2 linked regions of the Caenorhabditis elegans genome follow. Changing the gene in region 1 together with any one later gene gives a genetic interaction. Each region holds a gene or a part of one and is shown in the gene's direction. Other genes may lie near its edges.

Region 1 (3,755 bases):
GATGGCAAAATAAAGTGCTTTTCACTCATCTTTTTGATGAATGAGCGTTTTTAAAAACTCGAAATGAATAGTTTTGGGTTCCACGTTATTTTTTATTTTTGTAAAAGAAAAAAACCAATCATAATTATAAAAAACAAAACAAGAACAAATTAATTTAATTTGATTGAATTAAATACACGTTCAAATAAATTTCTACCCTCAGATATACATTTTAATGAGTTCTTCTCCAACAGCTTCAGGCTTCATTGCGCCGACATCAGTAATGATCAGTGTCAGAAATTCGGGTGCGGTGTAATCCACATCGGGATGCTCCAATTCTAGGTTGTTTCTCTCAATTACTGATGTTCGATACTGAAATAATGAAAGATCTGATTGAGTTATTTGATATAAATTGATTACTTTGAATTCTTGGGGAATATCGGCCTGGTTGAGTGGGAACTCCCGTACAAACTTGATAGTTTCAGCGCAAACATAGACGGGAACATGCCGTGATTTTGCGATGATACAAACATTAACAGTTCCAATTTTATTGATGATTCCACCGGTTTCCATGACTCCTTCAGCGCCAACTAGAACTGCTTGAATTCTTTCCATGACATATCTTAAAAAATAAAAAATGTATATACGTTTTTCTTATTGTTTTTTATAATTTCCACTCACCCCACACAGCTATCTAGAACTAAAGTAGTTGGAACTCCATTCTTTTTCAATTCTTCAAACACTAGTTTTCCTGAAGCATCCGGTTGCGATTCGGTGACCCAGACATGAAGGTGATATCCACTTTTGTGAGCATCAAGAATAGTTTCCAGAACCACTTTGCTGTATGAGTGTGTCAGAATATTCTAGAAAATACAAAGATTAAAATACATTAAATAGGAATTATTTAAATAGAAAAAAAAACGTACCATATGATGAGTGAAAAATAGACGAGCGCACTTGGAAATTTTGGCTCGAGAACCTCTGACATTCTTTATAAATGAGCGTGCTCGTTGGCGATACAGATCAAGAACTTGAGAAAAATCTTCTTGATCGAGAAGAGCAGCTGGAGCCAGAGAAGTGAATCTGGTGAACAAATCAGCGGCACTTCGAATTGATGTTGAGCTGTAGTCCGTTTTCTCGAGAGCAGCAACTACTTGATTTAGCTCATTTTGAAATTCGGCAACGGTGGTGGCTGTAATTAAGCAAAAAATTAATTGCCTAAATATTCAAATTCAGGAACTTACCGCGACTCCGGTCTAAAACCTCGAGCAGTGTTTCCACTGTGGCTAGACTCGTTGATTTGCTTGGATCGTTTTCAAGTTTTCCACGGAAAGATGAAATAATGCTTTCTTGAACCATGTTAGATGGAAAAAGTCTGCAAAAACAATAATGGAGAACGTTTGTCGTAGAAAGAAGAAATATTTATAGAAAAAATTTAATGAAAAAATAATGATGTAAACGCGCTCTATCGTTACGCAGAGAAGATAAGAGTTAGAGAGTTAGACAGTTTTGATAGTGGCAAATTTAAAAACAAAACATTTTTTTACTTATGTATTTAAAAGGTTTCGTGAAATTTAATTTATTTTCTCAATCTCGAATAAACATTTTAAACATATTTTTTGAGTCAGTCAGTTTACTTTCTACTCTCAACTATTTACGCATCTAAAATCTCCCATTGTGTGGCGAACTAAATAGGATAATAAATAATAATTTTCCTTTTCGAAACTTTTATACTATAATTAATTCCCTCAATTTGCTCCATAATCTCCATTAATTTTCCTCGTGTAATTGCTTCGTAGATCATTTGAATCGCCGCCGTGATACAGTACTATTCGCTAACCTGCACATCTTAAATACCATCGACAATTTTTTAAAAATTCATTTTCCATTTTGTTCATTGATTTCTTGGTTCTTTTTCCATTATTTTTGCCTCAATTTGTGCAAAAAGTGCTGGATATCGAATAATCCACAACGCTTTTCTGTTGTTCTTTCGGTTTTTGGGCCGTTTCTAGATTTTCCTCTCCGTAATACGAATTCTCGTGGGGAAACACGTTTTCCTTGTTCTTTGATTAATTTCTTTTGTACTAACTTTTCGACAAATATTTATTTATACTTTTTACAGAATCAAGCTTGTCCGTTTCGAAAATGGAAGAAGAACCGTACAAAAGAAAGCTAACGAAAGCCGAGAAAAAGGCAAAATATCGAACAGACTACGCCGAACCGTTGAAGTCACGCCGGGAAGTTCTGAAAGCAATTATGAATGGACCCGAGTCTGAGCGGGAGAGAAAAGTTCGAGCCAAAAATCGAGAATTTTTCAACGAGGACTATAGATCAGGTAAACATTTTAAAGTTCTTTTATTATTAAAAACTTTAAAAAACCCTCATTCATAATCTATACATTTAAAGGAGTCAACATCTACGGAATGGCTGTGGATATGATGAAAGCGATGCCGGATAGAGGAAAAACATCGGGACAAAGTTTGGCGGTTTGGTATCTGGAGGATTTTGGAGTTTGGTTAAAAGAGTCGGGACAGGAGACGGAGCTCAGACAGAAATATCTGACTGGAACTATTCAAATAAACGCCTTAGATGTGTGCACAATTGGACAAAAGCAGCTTCTCAGTGAAATCTTCGATATCACCAAAGAGAAATTCACTGAGGACATTACACAGTTGCTAGATGCTGCCATCAAGAAACAAGACTTCTCCGTTGCTGCAGATATGGCTATTCAGTACAATCTTCTACGGGATCATCATTTCGAACATCTTGTTCTTCCATTAATGCTATCTGGCAAAGATCAAACGGCTTATAAATTGATAAGTAACAATGAGAGGATGCAACAGCAGCTTGTAGAGTTTTTTGATCGAATGGTTGGAATCTCAGTGGTTGCCGTTGAAGAGATGCTGAAACCCTACAAGGAAACCAAAATTATGACGATTCCTATGGAGAAATTGACGGGAAAAACGTTGGACAAACTCATTTCGACGATTATCAACAAAAATACTCACGAATACAACTTCTCCAGGGAATTGTCGAAGTTCGCCAAAAACCACTCACAGAATGGGAATCTGAAGGCATTGAAGTTTAATATCAGTGAACGATACGAGAAGGGAAAATCCGATGACAACTATTTCCAGCATATGGTTGAAACTTTTACCAAAGCCGAAGATGTTCGTGAACCTATTTTGTTTTACTTGTGGAGCTCAAATGACACCGAGAAACAGTAAGTGACATTCAAAAAGATTTTTCTTTCTAAAATTCAATTTTCAGAATAGATGCCATCTGCTTTGCTATCTACTTAGGAATCGCTAGTTCCAGCAGCTATCAACTGCCGAATGTTATGAGGGACTTCTTTCGACAACCTGATTCGAAGCTCAGAGAAGCAAAAGAACTTCTAGTGAGAAGAAAGTAATTGTTTTCGATTTCTTCGACTTTTTTAAAACCATTTTTGTTCAGAACACTGCAAGTTCCTCTAAATGGCGAACAATTATTCGTATTTGAGAATGAGCGAAGAACTCAAATCCACATGGTGAAAACTGAATCTGAGATGAATTACTTATGTTCCGAGATCAAATCACTAAGCGACGAGCCAGCACCTGTTTACGTTGGATTCGATTCTGAGTGGAAACCGTCGAATCTTACAGCTGTTCAGTAAGTGAACAATTTCATTCTTAAAATTCCATATGCACCGATTTTCAGTGACTCGAAAATTGCTATCATACAATTGTTCTTCAAAAATTGTGTATGGCTTGTGGATTGCGTAGAATTAGAAAAGG
Region 2 (3,755 bases), on another chromosome or scaffold:
ATATTATTTAATCCCAACATTGTATTCAGTTTCATTGGCTTAGCAAGTTTTCGATTGAAAATTTTTTTTTTCAGCCAAATACCGATTTTTCATATTTTTTTCGCATTTTTGATTGATGTTTCTGTGATTATTGGTTTTCCTATGTTGTTTTAAAAGGGTTTGTAATGTATCTTCGCTGAAATGTTTGTTTCATATTCAAAAACGGCAATGTTTCCACTTTCCCACTCGGTATCTTTTAGTTTTCAGGCTGCAGCTTCAAAAAATTGAAAATGGCGAAAATTTTAGGGTGGAATTTGTTTTCTTTTTTTTTTTCATATTTTACATAATACTATTTTCGTAATTTATTTTTTTCCCTCAAAATGTGCATGATGCGTTAAATTTTTTTTGGCATAGACTTCGCGTCCCAAATGGCGAGTAATAATTATTGAGAAGGAAAACTGTGTGCGAGCCCTTTGCAAAATGTGTGCGCACCACTTGCGGTATGCCTCATCGTGTGACTCCGCCCACATTTTCTTTTGTTTCCATTTTCTCTTTTCCCCTCAATTTATCGATTTTTATCCACTTTTTGTTTTTCACATTTAGAATTGAGTATTTCATCGCTATTCTGGTTGTTTGCGTTAAAGTTTGTCGTTCAAAATCGAAATTTTCGTTAAAAATCAAGGTTTTTATTTCAGAATGACTGAAGTCGTAAATGCCGACAAAATAAAAACGATTCGCGCGTACTACAAGCTGTGCCAAAAGCCGGAGAATCGAGCAGTCGTGCTTAAGGTAAGTCGTTAGCTCACTCAGGATTCACATGAAAATTAAATTTCTTCCAGGACAAAACATTTTTCCACACTCTCCCAACGCTCCTCAAGGACGAAAGCTCCGATGTCATCAGATACACGGTTAAAATCCTCGTTTTGCTCACAGAGCAGTCGGGGAACATCGAGCAACTGCTGAAATCCGCAGATTTACTTCCAGCATTGTCGGAAGCCTGCGAAAATATCACAAATCCCAGTGTCAACTATAACTTGGTCCTTGTCTCGAGTAGGATTCGAGTAGTGAAGAATTCGCTGGATGCCAAAAGAGCCGAGAAAGAGCCTCTAGCCGATGCGATCAAAGAGCTCGACAAGGGCGGAACTCTTCACCGAAAATTCGTTGGAAGAAAGTCAAAGCAGATTATTATGGAATTCGATGCGGAGGAATTCGATGAAACGAAGAAGCTGTCAGTTGAGAGAGGCCTTCTGAAGAAAAAAGGAGTAATCAGTGTATATATAACCGAGCAGAACTCAATTCCACGCGCCGTGCTCCGCACAATCCCGACAATCGAAGCCAAGGACATTGCGCAGTCCGTTTTCGCCGCCGCCGGATTCGAGTACGTCGCGCAGTTAGTGAAAGTGAACGGAATCGACGAGAAATTCGAGTTTTACGCGTCAGAGATGGGCAAAATCACGGAAAACTCGAAAGATTACCCCGAATATTTGGATGATGATGTGCTTCACGTGGATCCGGCAAGTTGTGTGATAACTAATGAGATGGCTGCCCATGGAAGTGGTCAAGAGGGCGGATGGTTCAGTTCGATCACTTCATTCGTCAAAACTTCCCTCTGGTGATGGAAGGAATTCTCGGATTATCTCGGAAAATCTCGAAAAAAAATGTATTAAAGTACTACGGTTTCTTCTTTGTTATCTCAATATTTTCTTTTTTCTCCTGTTTCTCGTTTTTTTTGAGATCTCTTTCTGGTATTATCACCGCACAGGCATATAAATCGTTTCACACTGGTTTTTAAATCCTCGTATTCTTGATTTTTATGTGTTTTTAAGCTGTTTTAACCAGCTCTAATTATCTATTCGGCAGTTTCAGATTCGAAAAATGCGATTATTCTCATATTTGGACGGTTGCGGTACCAAAAATAGAGGAATTTATCGGTATAAAATATCCTTAAAAATCCAAAGTCCTAGTGAAAATCTTGTTTTTGCGTTTTCATCTAGTTTCCGATTCGAAAAAACCCATTTTTCTAAATTTTCTACCTGAAACCACGTATTTTGACAGTTGCAACACCAAAAATAGAATAATTTTCCTTTAAAATCGCCACAGAAGCACAAATTCCAAGTGATAATCTTTATTTTGCGTTTTCAGCTAGTTTCCGATTCAAAAAATGCGATTTTTCTCGATTTTCTACCTGAAACCTCGTATTTTGACGATTGCAGTATCAAAATAGTGGAATGTTTTTCAAAATAGCCATAAAAGTAAAAATTCCTTTTTAGCTAGTATCTGATTCGAAAAATGCGATTATTCCTCAATTTTCAACTAGAAATCCTATTTTTTTTTAAATTTTCTACTCTAAATTTCGATTTTTCGCACTTTTCCACTCGAAATAAATTTATTAAATTTAAATTTAATTTTAAAAAAATCTTAGTTTTTGTGGATTTTTCCTGTTTAAAATGACTTTTCTCTGCTCCCACATGAAATTTGATAGTTTCAGCACCTAAAATATCGAATTTCTTTGCATTTTCTCGTCTAAAACTCACCATTTCCTTTAAAAAGTATAATTTTCAGTAGCTGTGAACTCCCAACAACCATGCTTCTTCACTCTACCAACTCTTATTCGATATTCACTGGTAAAACACAAAAAAATACAATTTTTTCGAAATTTCTTCATTTAAATTAATTTCCAGACCATGAAGTCGAAACTCGAACCTCTAGAATCCGCTCAGCGATGTTCCCCGACTGGATTCCACCAACTTCTGCTGCAGAAGCCACAAATTCAACTACAAGCATCGTCGAAATGATGCAAATGCCAACTCAACAGCTGAAGCAATCAGTTATGGATCTTCTAACCTACGAAGGATCAAACGATATGTCAGGACTCTCGCTTCCGGATCTAGTGAAGCTTATGTGCGATCATGATGAGTCAGTGGTTGCTAGAGCTGTTCATCGAGCTTATATGCTCTCAAGGGAAGATCCGAACTTCTTCAATGCGCCGGGATTCGATCATCGATCTTTTGTGGAAGCTCTGATGGCTGCGTCGAAGAGTTCCAACGTGAATGTCCGTCGGAATGCGATTGGAGCATTGTCTCACATGTCTGAGCAACGTGGAGGACCTCTTCTGATCTTCAGAAGCGGAGGGCTTGCTGAAATCATTCGAATGCTCTATGATTCACTGGAATCAGTTGTTCACTATGCTGTGACAACACTTCGGAACCTTCTGATGCATGTTTCTGATTCCAGAGCTCAAGCGAGAGCTCTCAACGCCGTTGAGGCGCTAACTCCGCACCTTCATAAGACGAATCCGAAGCTGCTGGCTCAAGTGGCGGATGGGTTGTATTTCCTGTTGATCGGTAAGGATTCACTGGAAAAATCAAGAATTTTGTACAAATTTGCATTTTTTAAAGCTATAAATTCAAATTTTCCACTCTAAAATTTCAAAAATCGGTCAATTTTGCAGACGATGCTCCATCGAAGATCACATTCCTATCACTGTTGGGACCACAGATCTTGGTTTCGATTCTTCGCGAGTACTCGGATCATCGGAAGCTCATCTATACCGTCGTCCGTTGCATTCGATCCCTGTCCGTTTGTCCGAGCAACAAACCGGCGTTGATCAGTCTTGGTACATGGATGTTTTGATTAAAAACTATTTTATATCGCATTTTTAGAGATATTTTCAGGTTTTTATCCACTGAAAAGCTGGAAATTTGAGATTTTTAGCTGAAAATACTTGAAATTCGCAGCTATTTCGAGTGTTTTGAAGCAATTTTTAAACATTTTCC

Evidence for each region. A genetic interaction does not mean that the proteins touch.
Region 2: of mut-7 (region 1) and hmp-2, a change in one rescues a mutant of the other (synthetic rescue), as found in Caenorhabditis elegans (one study listed by BioGRID).

The regions. Positions count from the first base shown.
Region 1 is NC_003281.10:9,540,725-9,544,479, reverse strand, and holds the start of mut-7 (Exonuclease mut-7), read left to right. Parts: upstream 1-2,099; 5' UTR 2,100-2,124; coding exon 2,125-2,314; intron 2,315-2,385; coding exon 2,386-3,202; intron 3,203-3,249; coding exon 3,250-3,387; intron 3,388-3,435; coding exon 3,436-3,630; intron 3,631-3,678; coding exon 3,679-3,755. Other genes in the region: ZK1098.9 (uncharacterized protein), read right to left, coding at 1-29; eif-2Balpha (Translation initiation factor eIF2B subunit alpha), read right to left, coding at 199-351, 400-601, 661-842, 906-1,171, 1,224-1,338. UniProt on the Caenorhabditis elegans protein: Represses the transposition of Tc1, Tc3, Tc4, and Tc5, perhaps by degrading transposon-specific messages.
Region 2 is NC_003279.8:14,737,028-14,740,782, forward strand, and holds the start of hmp-2 (Armadillo/beta-catenin-like repeat protein), read left to right. Parts: upstream 1-1,854; coding exon 1,855-1,910; intron 1,911-2,541; coding exon 2,542-2,603; intron 2,604-2,660; coding exon 2,661-3,323; intron 3,324-3,430; coding exon 3,431-3,595; intron 3,596-3,755. Other genes in the region: K05C4.7 (Armadillo repeat-containing protein 1), read left to right, coding at 676-768, 819-1,595. UniProt on the Caenorhabditis elegans protein: Required for cell migration during body enclosure and cell shape changes during body elongation. Plays a role in recruitment of the cadherin protein hmr-1 to adherens junctions.